Linked DNA regions of Danio rerio. The protein of the gene in region 4 purifies or fractionates together with the protein of the main gene of each other region. This does not show direct contact. Links are inferred from orthologs where the notes say so. Each region holds a gene or a part of one and is shown on either strand. Other genes may lie near its edges.

Evidence for each region. Proteins that work in one complex are often made in the same cells at the same time.
Region 1: the proteins of polr2f (region 4) and polr3k purify together in Homo sapiens (affinity purification with mass spectrometry; 5 studies listed by BioGRID and IntAct, with this or other methods). This does not show direct contact. The link is inferred for Danio rerio from reciprocal best matches to the Homo sapiens genes POLR2F and POLR3K.
Region 2: the proteins of polr2f (region 4) and med1 purify together in Homo sapiens (affinity purification with mass spectrometry; 3 studies listed by BioGRID and IntAct, with this or other methods). This does not show direct contact. The link is inferred for Danio rerio from reciprocal best matches to the Homo sapiens genes POLR2F and MED1.
Region 3: the proteins of polr2f (region 4) and polr3glb purify together in Homo sapiens (affinity purification with mass spectrometry; 3 studies listed by BioGRID and IntAct, with this or other methods). This does not show direct contact. The link is inferred for Danio rerio from reciprocal best matches to the Homo sapiens genes POLR2F and POLR3GL.

Annotation. Positions count from the first base shown.
Region 1 is NC_133178.1:45,547,119-45,551,091, reverse strand, and holds the start of polr3k (DNA-directed RNA polymerase III subunit RPC10), read right to left. Parts: upstream 2,801-3,973; 5' UTR 2,676-2,800; coding exon 2,565-2,675; intron 804-2,564; coding exon 716-803; intron 1-715. Other genes in the region: snrnp25 (U11/U12 small nuclear ribonucleoprotein 25 kDa protein), read left to right, coding at 3,220-3,411. UniProt on the Homo sapiens protein: Core component of RNA polymerase III (Pol III) which synthesizes small non-coding RNAs using the four ribonucleoside triphosphates as substrates. Can mediate Pol I proofreading of the nascent RNA transcript.
Region 2 is NC_133187.1:16,852,439-16,856,485, reverse strand, and holds the start of med1 (mediator of RNA polymerase II transcription subunit 1), read right to left. Parts: upstream 2,801-4,047; 5' UTR 2,640-2,800; coding exon 2,531-2,639; intron 1-2,530. UniProt on the Homo sapiens protein: Component of the Mediator complex, a coactivator involved in the regulated transcription of nearly all RNA polymerase II-dependent genes.
Region 3 is NC_133191.1:47,264,638-47,268,906, reverse strand, and holds the start of polr3glb (DNA-directed RNA polymerase III subunit RPC7-like), read right to left. Parts: upstream 2,801-4,269; 5' UTR 2,606-2,800; intron 2,372-2,605; 5' UTR 2,369-2,371; coding exon 2,261-2,368; intron 558-2,260; coding exon 428-557; intron 1-427. UniProt on the Homo sapiens protein: DNA-dependent RNA polymerase catalyzes the transcription of DNA into RNA using the four ribonucleoside triphosphates as substrates. Specific peripheric component of RNA polymerase III which synthesizes small RNAs, such as 5S rRNA and tRNAs.
Region 4 is NC_133178.1:1,278,189-1,282,184, reverse strand, and holds the start of polr2f (DNA-directed RNA polymerases I, II, and III subunit RPABC2), read left to right. Parts: upstream 1-1,196; 5' UTR 1,197-1,219; intron 1,220-1,876; 5' UTR 1,877-2,008; coding exon 2,009-2,028; intron 2,029-2,273; coding exon 2,274-2,343; intron 2,344-3,353; coding exon 3,354-3,484; intron 3,485-3,996. Other genes in the region: uncharacterized protein, read right to left, coding at 26-85, 361-382. UniProt on the Homo sapiens protein: DNA-dependent RNA polymerase catalyzes the transcription of DNA into RNA using the four ribonucleoside triphosphates as substrates.

The DNA.
Region 1 (3,973 bases), about 44 Mb from region 4:
ACACTAGAAACACACTAAAGGACACACCAATCCATACTAGATACATACTAACAAACATACTAAAAATATATTAATCCACATTTGAAACATAGTAATAATATACCAATCCATGGAAGAAAAACATAACATACTCCAAATATACCAATCCATACTAGAAACATAATAAACCACATTAAAAAACAAACCAAGGCCACACCAATTCATACCATAAAACATAATAAAAATATACTAATCCATACTAGAAACATACAAACAATATACCAATCTATACTAGAAACATACTAACGGACACACCAATCCATACTAAAACATACTAAAAATATACTAACCCACACTAAAACATACTAACAATATACCAATCTATACTAGAGACATAAACCACACTAGAAACATACTAAGGACACACAAATCCATACTAGAAACATACTAACAAACATACTAATAATATACCAATCCAGACTAGAAACATACTATAATAATCTAATCCACACTAGAAACATACTAACCATATACCAATCTATACTAAAACATACCAATCCATACTAGATACATGCTGACCTATATGTAGTTATCAATCTATGCCGACTGTTTCAAAATTCTTAAAAACTATTTCAATTAATTAAACTTTAAAACTACTTCAAACTTTCAGACTAGTCTCAGTCAATCCACCATAAGTTTGTGAGCAAACTTTACTTTTCAAGTTTCATTTGTTTACCTGCAGTGGAATCCACATTTTCCCAAGCAGCAGATCCTCCAAGAACATCATCAACCTCCTTCAGTTTGGGGTACTTTCTGTTGTTTACCTGTTAAAGCACATAAACAGGTTTGTTTTCCTATTTTTTTATCAGGTCAATGATACTGTCTATGCCTGACCATAAACCTAACCCTCATAGAAACAAGCTTCAATTGTTAGATACTAATAAAAACAAGGATGGTTCAAGGTGATTTATAAGTGTTTTTAATTTTACTGCAAGTTGCTGAGACTTATTTTAGTATGTTGAAGGACCTCAAACTGAAACTGCATATTGAGTAGGGGGCGGGGCTTTCTTTTTGCACATCATTCCCTCATCAACTAAAGGTAAGAGGGGCGTGGTTAGGAATATTGTGGATGCATCTGCCAAACTGACATCATCAGAGAAGGACTGCCACTCCAAACGCCAGAGCAAATGGTCAGACTTTGAAGATTATCAGAACAAAGATTTTTTTTTTCGGTGAATTAGCTTGCATGGATTTATCATTTACCTAAAGAATAGCATTGTGTGCTTGTAAAATAAACACTGTAAATTTGGATTTCACACAGACTTTAAAGAATATATATGCGGAATGTTGAAAAAAACTATCAATGACATAAATAGCAAAAATACTATGACAAGTGGCTCTTCTTTAATATGTCACTGTATAAATACAGTTGTTACCAGTGTCTAAAACAGCGTCATTTTGAATTCTAATCAGAGTTTGAAATTGACTTTTTCACTTAACAGCCAATTACATTTACAGACCAACTAAGCATTGAAAACTTGTATGTGTTTTGGCCATTTGTTTGCACAACAGCATTTTGGGGGATGCAAAAATGAGTTTTTAAGAGCTATCTTTTAAAAACAATGTCAGTAGTTTATAGAGGTGATTTATTTATCCAGGTTTTGTGTTATGATTCTGAAGTTAGTATTGTCATGTGCTATAATTGCATCTGTGTCTTTAAGACGGGAAACAGGTGGCATGATGGGAAGTTTTGTAATGTTACGGAGTTCATAGACACAAGAGAAGTAAAGAGTGGTGGTAAAATGTTAACCTGCGTGTGGCACTGTGGCTGATTTAATTCAGAAGTATGTGCAATTTATGAATGAACATTTGATGATAAGACACACATACATAAGTATCTATGAAGTGACATCAAATATAAACTTTTAAGTATCCAGATGTTTATCCACCTGAAGCTATAACAATATTTCTAAAAAATTTCTAAAATATTTTTAATTCCTACGTTTTCAAGATAATATAAACGAAGTTCTTGGTTTATTAAGTACATTGAGTAAGTTTATATCTTCTGTTAAACAAAAGAAGATATTTTGAAGAATGTTGCTGGGATCCATTGACTTCAATCAACTCTTATTTCCTACTATGGTAGAAAATGGGTGCCAGCATTATTCAAAATATCTTTTAATGAGAATTTATTCTAAAACTGTAAATTTTATACATAAATATAATAACGTGATGAAATAAAGAGCATTTTAAAGTACAATACAATCTTATAATCATTTAACCATTTCATTTAAGTAACTACTCAGTAACCCAGCGTTATTTATCATGCTCTGAAAGCAATGTTTGATAGAACATAAACACTCCCTCACTCAAATCTATTTTTGTTATATAATTTGTAATGTTAGAAACATTGATCTCATCAGATGTTCCTCACACGTTCTCATATTATCGAATCAAGTCATTTCTTTCGTTTCATTCGAATCGAACTTTTAAATGTCGGCGTTCCGTCGAACTTTAATGCGTTCGAATCAAACGTTCCAAACGCTTATTAGATACAAATTTCCATAACCGGTGTTATGCATTACCTTCCTCGTGATGTTGTGCACATATGGACATGTGTTACACGCGAATCTAAAGCATCGCTGTCCTTCTTCCACGATTAACACATTCCCACATGTCGGACAAAACAGGAGCATTTTCAAACAGTCATAGATTATGTTACGTAGTAAATACAGTTATAGTTTCTTTCTGATGCAACTGAAGTTGGTATTTACACACAGTCCTTTCTAAGTCGCTACAGGAAGCACATGACAATCAATGTGCCTCTGTATTATTGGCTCGCCATAAAACGAAATATAGACAAGGATGAACACTGTTTCTGTTGTATATATTAAACTTAAATATATATGAAAATGTCAACGAATATATTAATGCTGATTAAAAAATATTTTAATAGAAGATTGTTATTGTAATAAAGAATGTGAATCATAAAAAACCTATGCGGAACTAAAGTCGGGTGCATCACTGAAATATTCCGACAGCGTGTTTATAAAAATGAAATGTAAAAAGAAATGCTGGAACGGCTCAAATTGTTAAAGTTACAATTTTTAATACAATAAGCTTCTGCAAAAGGCGTACAGTTTTTTTACGAAATTGTAGTTATGTTAACTATTAACGCTTAGTGACTTTTTTATAAGTCTTGGATTTCTATACCCTCAAAACAAGACGTTTGAAGATAAAATGGACGAAATAAAGGACGAAACCGAGCTCAAAAAAGAGTTAGAGGAGAAAACTGTGGAAGATGAAATAAAAGAGGAGCACGAAGAGGAAGAAGACGAGGAGGCTCTTCCACACTCAGAAATTCTGGACATCTTTGAAGAAGGGCTGGCTCTCATAGTGCAGGACCCGCTTCTGTGTGACCTGCCCATTCAGGTGTACATGCAGTCAAGGGGCTGTTTTAAACGGACAATTCACCCAGATATTAAAATGTTCGGTTAATTGACATCCCAAGATTCTGTTCTTAAGTAGAACAGAAAATACGTTTTTTTTTTAAGTTGAGAACTATGTTTTCCTATGTACGTTATCTATATAATGGTGGTCAAGAAGCGCCATCACTTTGAGTTTAATATATTTAAAATCTTCCTCAGAGCTGTTTGTCCAGGTTGTGAATAGCTGATAATGTAGTTGTAAATACTAGAGGGTAATAGTTCCAGCTTAAAATCTTCTATATTCTACAGATTTTTTTTCAACAGTTTCTTCTCCTCTGTGTCAGTATAATGCTCACATTTATGTGCCGCGTTTGGTTGCACCTCTGACTTGCTTATTACCTCAAATGTGTCTGTGAATTGTTTCAAACTAAGGAAGTCATAGTCAGTACATAAGTGCACACCACTCGTGAACACATGCAATACACTGAGGAGAAGAAACTGTTGAGTAAAGTAGTTATTTTTGTTTTATGTGCACACAGATGTATTCTCGTAGCTTGATAATATTC
Region 2 (4,047 bases), on a different chromosome or scaffold from region 4:
ATTTTTTTAGCAGAAAACAGTTAATTGAAAAGTAAACTTTTCTTAGCAGACAGCGGGTAAACAAATTAATAAATAGCAGGAGCGATCGGATGCTAAACACTCAGCTGAAGTAACAGGCCTGCTGTATGTCTGGGTCTGTACGGGACACTTCTGGGTCTGGAGACAGACCTCGATAAGCCCTTTAGTGATCAACAAAAAATAAACAAAAAGATTAAGCATTTGTTATTATTATCTGTCTGAATTTACATTGAGTGTCTATTGAAACACTGACAGCAATGTGCTGTGTTTTGGTCTCACCTGCACTTTTGCTGAACTCTCAGAAACTCAAACACACAGACACGTCAGAAGACGTAATGTCAACAACAGACTTACAGATTTTTAAGAGGTGATTGAGACATGTCCTCCCATGTCCAGCGCATGTCATAGGTAAAGGCAGATTTTTTTTTGTTTTGTTGCAGTTGTTTTTAAACACTAAACTAATATTAAAAATGCATATTCTGAACTGCAGATCACAGGGCGCACTGAACCATGGGAGGACAACAGGACGGTACGATTTTTTAAAGAGAACCGTTGCATCCCTCCTGGATCCCGTACCGTAGTAGCTTTGCATGAAACGTCAGAGCTTAAACTAGCAAAGCTCCAAAACAGAAAAGAAAACTTTTCAATTTATGTATTTGAGATGTAAATACTTGTTACAGCAGAACAAAATTTGACTTCATACTGTCAAACAAACATAAATTGCATGTTTGCAAATATGACAAACAAGTCATGTACAAGAACTGAACAACTAGTCAGTAATCAGTGTTACCACCTCTCATATGTTTTGAATAATCTGTTAAAGGATGGCTCCTCCAAGTATTCCATCACTAACACTGCTCAACGTGGAGGGCATTGTCATCCATAAAAACAAAATCCGGCCACATTGCACCAGAATAAAGTTTGACAACTGGCCTCAGAATTTCATTCCTATACCTTGGGCTTGTCTGGTTGGATACTAACACTCCTGTTGCATCCTGTAGGTCAGGGGTAGGGAACCTATGGGTCAGGAGCCACATGTGGCTTTTTGACCAAAAATATGTAGCTTTCTCCAGCTGTCTTCTTTCAATAATATTTTAAAGTTTAAAAATCATAACTGTTATTAGAAACCAGTTTCATATTGAAAATACAATTATAATTCCCTTTATACTGTATTTTTTAAAGCAAAATAAGAACTCAGGTTACAATAAAAGGATGTTTCTAATGAGCATGTGTGGTGCTGTGGCTTAACTTGAATCGCAACACCAATTCATTCACAAGTGGCAATGGCATACTGATTTTTTTTTCATTCTATAAATTGTCCTTAAATAAGTAAAGATGTTGTTATATACACACACCCCCAATTGCTCTTTAAAAAATGTATTTGATAAATAAAAAACAAACAATGGCTCCTTGCTGAAAAAATGTTACAGACCCCTGCTGTAGGTCATTTTGCAGACTGATTGCAGACTGATTCCCTCGCAGGGAAAGGTATTGGTTATAATTTGGTGTTGTTACCCATTGTCTGCCTCCACCATGCATTCTACTCACTCCACCAATCCTTCTGAACATGTTCCAAGCTCTGAAAATTACACTTTGATATGTTCTCACTGGCTCTACAACTCCTGTGTCTGCCTCAGGCCTGCTTGCAGCTTCCCAATGTCCCGGTTGAGGTCAGAATTCTGTAGCCTACCTAAATTTGGCATTTCATGCGCTTCCTGACCTCAAGTAAAGCTTTCAGAGCTCTTCCCAATTACGGACATCCGTCAATTGGTACCTAATGACAAGCAATAATATCTGATGATCACCAAATGCCATTAACGATGACATTTCATTATTGACAACATTGTCTAATAACAGACTAATGTTTGCATGCATTTTTGCATTAAGAAATAACACATTTTCTGTTTTATAATAAATAAATAAAATTCATATGTAGGCTAATATTTAATAAACTGCATCATGCTTAACACGCATTAACAGACACCAGCCTTAATAAATAGATTTTTGTCTTAATCACCAAAACTTTCGGTTTTGGCTTAGTTTATAATAAAGACTATAGCACTCCTCCTATTCTTAACAAATAACTATGTTTCCTTTCCTCCATAAACGGACAGGCAAGTAAGTAAGTATTACATAAATGTATCATGTATTGGGCTGATATTTTTAAGTCATGGCAAAAAAGCATGGTAGAAATTTAAAAAAGTCCCAACCACCCTTTATTCATTCTAACTAAATAACCAAAAATGAACAGCAATCCCTTTATTTTTTCTGATTATGAGAAATTTAATTAATGTAACGTTACAATAAATATTTACTTTTCAACATTGATGCTAACCTTCGCCAAAACATCCCAAAAACACTCGAGATATCTGACGGACGACTCGGAAATCGTGCACAATCCGTAAAAGGGAAATCTATGGGTCATTTCTAAAAAATAATTAAAGCATTTTGTAGATTCTAGCTGACACAAATAAACTTTAAGTAAACAGGAAGTATGTGCTTGTAACGTTACCAGATCCATCCTCGGCTCGGGGACGCTCGGAGCCCGCGGCTGTGCCTCCCTGGGACGAGTCTGCGACCGGACTGCTGCTTTGCACCGCCGCCATCTTCCGAATTTGCATCCAACAGTGACCCGACAACGGTAAAGCAGAAAGAGCTAAAACATTATACTAAGACGCGGTCACAATAAAATCAGCCCTCGTTAAAATAGACCGCGAACAAAGCGCAATAACCAGGCGAAAATGCCTAACAACAGACTACTGGATCGAGAAACTGAAATGACGTCACGTGATCTTCTTCTTCGCTTTTTCCACAATGCATTTTGTCTATATATCGCCACCTGGCAATAGGCTGTACCCAAAGAGCTTAGATGCTCTTTGCTGTAGTGTAGCAGATAACATTCTTACTTTCCCATATGGAACATCCCGTTTGGTTATTTTTCGGGGAACGTTATCTGTAGTTTTTTTTGGCAACCAAAACCTAACCAAAATCTTCCCAGAACGTTCCCTTATTATTTATTATTATATTACATTTTCTGGAGATTATTTGTGGGTCTTATTTTCATAAACTAAAGAGAACCTTCCCATGATGTTCCCTTCAGGTTATTTGTGGGTTTTATTCTCATAATAACTTTTGATTGTATATTTTTCAATGCGACTGATAACATACACACACACAAACACTATGGTGTATATATTACATTTACATTTAGTCATTTAGCAGACGCTTTTATCCAAAGCGACTTACAAATGAGGACAAGGAAGCAACTTACACAACTATAAGAGCAACAATGAATAAGTGCTATAGGCAAGTTTCAGGTCTGTAAAGTCTAAGAAGGAAAGTATTAGTATTTTTTTTTTTTTGGGGTACAGTTAGTGTGATATCCAGAGAGGCAATTGCAGATTAGGAAGTGAAGTGGAGACTTCATATATATATATATATATATATATATATATATATATATATATATATATATATATATATATATATATATATATATATATATACATATACACACACACACACACACACACACACACAGACATTTATTATTTTTTTTTTTTATCAGTTTTTTTTTTATTTACAGGGGTTGGACAATGAAACTGAAACGCCTGGTTTTAGACCACAGTAATTCATGATGTAGGTCATTCTTTTGTGGTCAATACAGCATCAATTTATCTGGAAAATGACAGATACAAGTCTTGCACAGGATTTTGAGCCATTTTTTCTGCAAAAAAAGGTGAACAGGTCACAACGTGATGCTGGTGGAGTAAATACGTGGTAGTAATGTAAGTGCAACAGTTTTATTGTGACAATGTAACTAATTACATTGTGACAACTGAAACGTTGCAACAATAAAACTGTGACATTGCCAGTTATTAATCACAATGTTGTGACAACATTGTGTACTTCTACCAATATGAATTATTTAATTTGAATTATACAATTATTCAAATTTTATTTTATTGAATAAAAAATATACCACCCCTCCCTCTTCGTTGACCAATTAATTGATCTGTTGCTCGGTTA
Region 3 (4,269 bases), on a different chromosome or scaffold from region 4:
TGAAATAAAAGCCGTTTCTAACATATCAATTCGAGGTGTTGGTTAGGACAAAAACTCCTTTTAATATGGAAAATATTTGTTCTATCACGTGCCGTTGCTTTTATACTGAACACGGTTTACATTAGGCTTGAGACTCGCTCCTCTTGGTCATCTGGCAACCTGCACTTGCATATGTTTTGATTCTGGAATGTAATTCCTAGTTCAACCACTGGGTGTCAAATTACATACCTTTAAACATTTGCACCTTTAAATGTTATTTACAATAATTGCATTAAGACTCAGGATTAGAAAAAAAGGATTGCATATGTGCCAAAGTGTAGAAATCGCATGTTATGTAATTTCGAAAAAAAAATGACATGATACAATGAGCATAATATAAGCCCTTTAAAGATGTCAGTAAAGAGCTAGTCCTGGGCTCTGAACTGACCTTTCTTGGGAGCCGCTGGACGGATGTAAAACGGGAGCGTCTTCATGGCTCCCCTAAACTCCTGTTTGAGGGCCAGCATGTACTCGGCCTCCTCACCTGCCTGCAGGGGCACTGGCTTCTGATCCAGAGGCTGAACACATCAAACAGCACATTCACATCTGTCTGCTGCTCACACAAACACCTGCTGTCACTCATTTACACATGCCAAGACAGAAATCAGCTTTTAATAGGGCATACAGCTAAAGTCAGAATGATTTTTTTCTTTTTTAAAATATTTCCTAAATAATGTTCAACAGAGCAAGAAAATTTTCACAGTATGTCTGATAACATTTTTTCTTCCGGAGAAAGTCGTATTTGTTTTATTTCGGCTAGAATAAAATCCATTTAAAGGTCAATATTATTAGCCCCATTAAGAAAATTTTTCTTCTTCGATTGGCTACAGAAAAAAAACATTGTTATACAATGATTTGTCTAATAAACCCCAATCAACCTACTGTAGTTAAGCCTTTAAATGTCACTTTAAGCTGAATACTAGTATTTTGAAAAATATCTAGTCAAATATTATGTACTGTCTTTATGGCAGAGACATCTACAGACACTTAAAATGGCAATAAAATTATTTTCTTTACTGTAATAAAAATGTTAATTGAAATAAAAAAAACATACAGTTGAAGTCAGAATTATTAGCCCCTTTTTTATTTTTTTCCCCAATTTCTGTTTAACAGAAAGATATTTTTTTCAGCACATTTCTAAACATAATAGTTTTAATACCTCATCTCTAATAACTGATTTATTTTATCTTTGCCATGATGCACATAATATTTGACTAGATATTTTTCAAGACACTTCTATACAGCTTAAAGTGACAGTTAACGGCTTAACTAGGTAAATTAGGTTAACTAGGCAGGTTAGGGTAATTAGGCAAGTTATTGTATAATGATGGCTTGTAGACTATCGGAAAAAAAATTGCTTAAAGGGGCTAATAATTTTGACCTTAAAATGGTATTTAACAATTAATAACTGCTTTAATTTTCCAGAAGAAACAATATTATCAGACATACTGTGAACATGTCCTTGCCCTGTTAAACATCATTTAAAAAATATAAAAAAGAACAAAAAAATTCAAAGGGGGGCTGATAATTCTGATTTCTACTCTTACTTCCAGCAGGATAACGCGCCATGTCAGAAAGCACAAATCATCTCAGACTTTTTTTTTTAACATCACAATGAGTTCACTGTACTCAAATGGCCACAATATTCACCAGATCACAATCCAATAGAGCATCTTTGGGATGTGGTGGAAAAGGAGATTCACATCATGGATGTTTAGCGGGCAAACTGCTTGATGATATCATGTCAATATGGACCAAAATCTCTGAGGAATATTTCCAGTATCTTTTTGAATCTATGCCACGAATGATTAAGGCAGTTCTGAAGACAAAAGTGGTCCAACCCAAAACTAGTAAGGTGTACCTAATAAAGTGGCCGGTGAGTGTAAGTGGCTTATTATGTAACTGTTAAGGTAAATAAGGTGGAATACTGTGATGATGTGTTCAACAATAAAACAATTTGAATTCTAAAACAAATATTTAAACAAATATGTTGTTGTGATATTAGACACTTTTAAAATGTAATGTTTGCTGAATGTTGAACAGGACCGTTTTTTCAATGCAATTTCTGTGTAGCTCGTGACGCCATCCACATTAAACTATTAAAGCACTGCGTTTATGCTCATGAAATGCAGAATCTGACTCATATCTTGATAATAGCAGTGTATAACAAGCGTATAACAGTTTATAAACGAGGCTTTATTGTTGTGTCTTGAAGACTCACGGGGAACAGAGGTGTCGGCTGGATGCAGGACGGAGGGAGATTTTCACCTTTACCGATCCCAACTATCTCCACAGAGAAAGTGAGCTGCCCTCTGCCCCTTCCTGCCATCATCTGAGACAAAATATTTCACATTTATTAATCATACATCCTCTTTATTTAACTCGTTTATCCGTTATTCACAGTATAAGTTTACTCATTATCAAACAACTAAATTCGGCTAGAAAAGACACATTTAGGCCAAACATGTTAAAATATTTATTTTTACATAAATGTACTTTTGGTAAATGTTTTATTTTCAATGTAACGTTTTATTTGTTTTGACCGAACTGTAGCATATAAACACACCTCTTTCACTCAATGCGGCGAAATCCCTCTTTATTTTCAACTTCGTTTCATTGTGCAAAGGTTTTATTGGTTAATCCGTCAGTAAACGTGGTTGTTTTTAATGTAATTTCAGGTTTTATTGATGTAAAATTGAGCAATAAAATCACCCGCCAAACATCTGCCCGTTTGTTTTTGCCCGCTTCTGAAAACACTCCTGCCAGAAACATGAGCGCGGTCTTTTATGGTTCCGCGTTTCGCGTCAGTTAACGTTAACCAGTGCTACTCAAAGTGAATCATGCTAAACAAACAAATCATTACAAAATATGTAAGGATTCATTACATGTTTTGCATATTGCTCACAGAGATGCTGATGCACATGCTAAAGATTATTATACTGTAGTCAACATTTGAAGTGGATCAAAACCTTTATCAAAGTTGTTCCAAAACTATTCAACAACACACATTTTTAACTTAGGACAAATTTTGATAAACATTTTTGATCTGTTTTAAATGTTGGCTATTATTTATTAAAACTACTGTTTATGTAGCCTATAACTAAGTTACAACACTTTATTACATATGTGAAACATATTTGTCCGTGTACATACAGTATAGATATTTCTGTAATTCATGGCTTTATTGTATAATACTCACAGACACAGTGCGTGTGTGTGCGCGTGCATGCGTGTGTGTGTGTGTGTGTGTGTGTTTACAGTTGAGGTATTGTTATTAGCCCCCCTTAGAATTCTTTTTTCTTTTTAAAATATTTCCCAAATGATGTTTAACAGGGCAAGGAAATTTTCACAGTATGTCTGATAATATTTTTTCTTCTGGAGAAAGACTTAATTGTTTTATTTTGGCTAAAATAAAAGCAGTTTTGAATTTTTCAATGAAAATTTTTAGGGTCAAAATTATTAGCCCTTTTAAGCTTTTTTTTTTTTTTTTTTTTTGATAGTCTACAGGGGTTCTCAAAGTGGGGGACGCGCGACAATGAAGGGGGGGGGGGTCGCCTAGTTATTTCCAAAAATCGAGTTATTTTTATTAAACCATAAGAATTACCATATTTTATCCATAACCTACTGAAGAGAAAAATCTAAATCATCTTTATAGTGATTTAACATTTTAACATCTTTATACACTATATACTGCTGTATTGAGTTACTATAGTAGCTTCTAGTTACTAGTTCTATTGGATTGCGACCCCTGGGGTAATTACATTATGTTAAAGACAGCAATAGCGTCAGATGTAACAGACTGATTTTATAACACCAGGTTAAACTTTCTGGCACATTAACAGCACTGACATACATTAATTCCACAAAGAATAGACATGGGTTTCTGTACTTATAACCACCTCAGAGGATGTTGGGAGTCGCGAGTCACTGGCATTGTCGTTTTGGGTGTCATGGGCTGAAAAGTTTGGGAACCCTTGGATTACAGAACAAACCACTGTTATACAATAACTTGCCTTATTACCCTAACCTGCCTAGTTAAACTAATTAACCTAGTTATGCCTTTAAATGTCACTTTAAGCTGTATAGAAGTGTCTTGAAAAATATCTAGTCAAATATTATATACTGTCATCATGGCAAAGATAAAATAAATCACTTATTAGAAATGAGTTAATGTTTATTAAAAAACTATTATGCTTAGAAATGTGTTGAACAAATCTTCTTTTCGTTAAA
Region 4 (3,996 bases):
CAGTGTTAAAAATATTAGGACTTACTTTTGGGTGCGTCTAGCTCTATGCTCTGACTTCTCTTGTGAGCAGAACCAGGAACAACAGCTATAAAACATTAAATTAAAAAACATGTTAGAAAGATCAGCACTGGAGTGTTACTACAGGACATTATTATTTTATCACAGTGAAAACGGTAAACATGTAGTGAACATTATGACAGATAATTGCTCAAACCATATAAAGCCATTTCATAGTGTATAATTCTAACATCTTTATTTTAAAAAGCCACGTCTTCATCTTTATGAGCTGTTTTCTTTTGGTTTTGTGATGGTTAGTTTTTGACTTTAGGAAATAGCCGGTTTGGATGAATAAACTCTGACCTCTGCTTTCTCTGCCGGACATGTTGATTCTCTGTTTTTTCTTCAGTCTTCAGTCCATCAACTTTCTATTTGCACCTGATGATTGTCTCTTTATCACCCTGTCATAGATTACACAGATTTTACTTAGCAAGTTATATATTGATTTGTAACTTTTTTATACTCTGTTACCAATGTTAATGTTTGTGTAGTCTATATGAACATCTACTTACACTTTTTTGCCCTGAACATATGCGGTAAACAGCGCTCTTGTATAGTGATTAAATCAAATAGGCCTATTTATAACAAAGTGAACATGTTTAATGAAAGGAGGACAACAAAGTTCAACAGCTGTAAAAGTTTTACATTTACATTTCTTTAAAACAAGCTGACACTGCACATTCAGATATAGGTTATAGAATAGGCCTAGGCTACATTCAATTTTTGTTTTTGTTATCAAACACACCTGAAAGTAAAACCAACCAAATCTAAGGCTTGATTGCAACTACACACTGAATACATCCAAAATAAACAATTTCTTCCAAACATCGCAGTTACATCTATACATTTGCATATTTTACAAATTGATTATTTAAAACAAATGTTTACCGTGTCGAAGATAGTCTTTTCCTTCTTGAAAACTGGAAAAACCTGTATTTTGGGAGGAGTTTTGTGAAGTCACAAGACACTCTTCACCTCTTTTTTCTTCTATTTCAATGGCGGGTAACACCAACGCCGTCGCTTAAAGAGGGAAGTGGGGGGGAATGATTAGTCTGTAAACCTAACCTCTAGTCCACAGTGCAGAGCTGAAGGTGGCGGTAATGCACCAAAACGCTGGATGTCAACCGCCGTAAAATTATAAGAAGAAGAAGAAGAAGAAGAACGCCGTCGCTTTGGTCATATACTAGGTGTAGGAGTGTGAACCAGATCAAGTTCGCATTCCCAAATAAGTAGACATAGTAGCCTATATTTTATAGTCTCGTTCAGTTCTGTTGTCTTTTTATCTTCATATGTTTGTCTTGTTAGACATTTAAATGTAAAAATATGTCAATTTGATGCTAGAACAGGGTAAAGTCTAGATAGGATTCAGCTGCGGATATGCACATCAATATCTGTGATAAGAACAATTAATATTTTTACAGTACTGTGACGGTTGGGGGGTATACGTAAAATACATTTTATTAAGTAATTTAATAAATAGCAAAGTACAGCTACTCTGTTTGCTGTTACGGCTAGAACAGGACAATATTAGATATGGGGATTTATTTGAAAATTTATAACCAAAAGTTTTACAGCGTTGAAACGTCTTTTTAGCATCCCGTCTTTGTTTTATAAACCATCACACATTTCCTACATTGTCTTGTTAAGAAATGTAAAGTGATTGTATTGTATAAGAAAACTGTACATGCTGGTTCTTGTTAATAAAAAAATAATAAATAAATAAAAACATTTCCTACATTGTGTCTTTTTTTACTGCTTTACGATTTGCGTGTTTGCGGAACGTCAGTGCTGTGGATCGTGTTTCTGCACGGACAGTGACGCTGCGGCAACACCGGAAAATCCTTCCACGCTTGGAGTCGCGCTGCGGTAAACTAGCTGTGAGATTCCAGACATAACATTTTTCTTAAAAAATTACCTATTAAACCGGGGTAGGAGACGCAGAACACTAATAATGTCGGATAACGAGGACAAGTGAGTTTCAAACGCGTGTGTTGCGCTCAATGTTTTACTGTTTTCGAACGTTTAAAGTGTGTGAATGTGGAAAACAACAACATGCGATCATTTCCATACTGCGACACAACATATATAACGATGAATGTGACTTACACAGACCTGACAGCTGAGTCTTATTTACCCGATATAGCGAAGACTTGATTTGTGATTTATTGTCGATGACGTGTTTGTTTATCTCAGAGTTTGTTTGTTTGTTTGTTTAGTTTTGATGACGGAGATTTCGATGATGTTGAAGATGAAGAGCCTCTGGATGATCTGGAGAATGTGGAAGATGTAAGATCACACTTTCAGAGAAATACTTGCTTATATTCTGCCTGGTAATCATTGAGAAATGGAGTATTATAGTCAAAGATTTCTCTTATTTCCACATGAGAAATACCACAGAGTTACAGTTTAATAATTTGAGCCACACTGTAGTATTTTGCTGTATATATTATAGTATTTTTCAACTGGTTATTAATGAATGCTGCAACATACTGTAATATTAACTATAGTGAACTGAGAATAACTGTAGTATACAATAGATTTCTACAACTATGGAGTATATTATACTTCAATACACTACAATTTACTGTAGTAAAAACACAAGTATTGGCTTATTTGTTTATATTACTAAAGTACAATACATTCATTCATTCTCTGTTCGGCTTAGTCTCTTTATTATTCTGCGGAATGAACCGCTAACTTATCCAGCATATGTTTTACACAGCATATGTGTATGGGAAACACCCACACAAACTCATACACTGTGGCCAGTTTAGTTGATCAATTCCCCTATAGTGCATGTGTTTGGAGGAAACCCACGCCAACATGGGAGAACATGCAAACTCCACACAGAGATGCCAACTGACCCAGCCGGGACTCGAACCAGCAACTTTCTTTCTGTGAGGCGCTTGTGCTACCCACAGCGCCACCGTGATGCCAATATAGTAGAATGATATAGTAGAATCACCACAACAGATCAAATCAAGTACTCCACTATAGTATAGTGTTTGTGTATGCGTGTTTTGTGCTTGCTCATGTGTGTGTTGTGCATGCTTTTGTGTTTGTATTTTGTCCTAGCATTTGTGTACATTATGCATATTTGTGTGGGTGTGTGCATGCTTGTGTGTTTTGAGCATGCATTTGTTTCTGTGTTGTGTATGTATATATGTGTGTGTGTGTGTGTTTTGTTTAATTGTGTGTATCGTGTATGTGTTTGTGTGTGTTTTGTGTTTATTTTTGTCCAATGTTTTGTATGTGTGTGTGTGTGTGTGTGTGTGTGTGTGTGTGTGTGTGTGTAGGAGGACCAAGAGAATGTTCAGATCCTGCCGGCAGGTGAAGGACAGCAGGCCAATCAGAAGAGAATCACCACCCAATACATGACCAAATACGAGAGAGCGCGAGTGCTGGGAACACGAGCTCTGCAGATTGCGTGAGTGACCGATCCACAATCACCACTCAACACACACACACACACTGCCAAATACACAACATTACCAAACATGGAGATGCACACTGCAATGCCTCAATCTCTGAATCATCTCGCAGCATTAATCTGAACGCTCATACTCTGTTCATGTGTCCTTTTCTCTGTCCTCTGTTTAACTGTGGATTGAAGCACTGCTTTGGTTTCGCCTAACTTGCTGATCTTGGTGTCTGATATTGTGAGGTTTTATTTTTCTGTGATAAATATTGTGATAATACAGTTTCACTAGAGAGTTTGATTGGCTCTGTTTGACTGATTTCTGTGGAGAAACAAATGCTTTTCTTACTTTGCTTTCTCTCGTTTCTAGTCCAAATATCTAAAAATTCTTAAGAAAATATTTTGTTTTCAACTTTCCATGAACTTACTTTTGAAATTTTTCCCTAAAACAATCAAAATGATCTGCCTCTTATCCGTTTGATTAGCATTCATTTCAAGAGGAGCATTAAAGTGCAAAACCC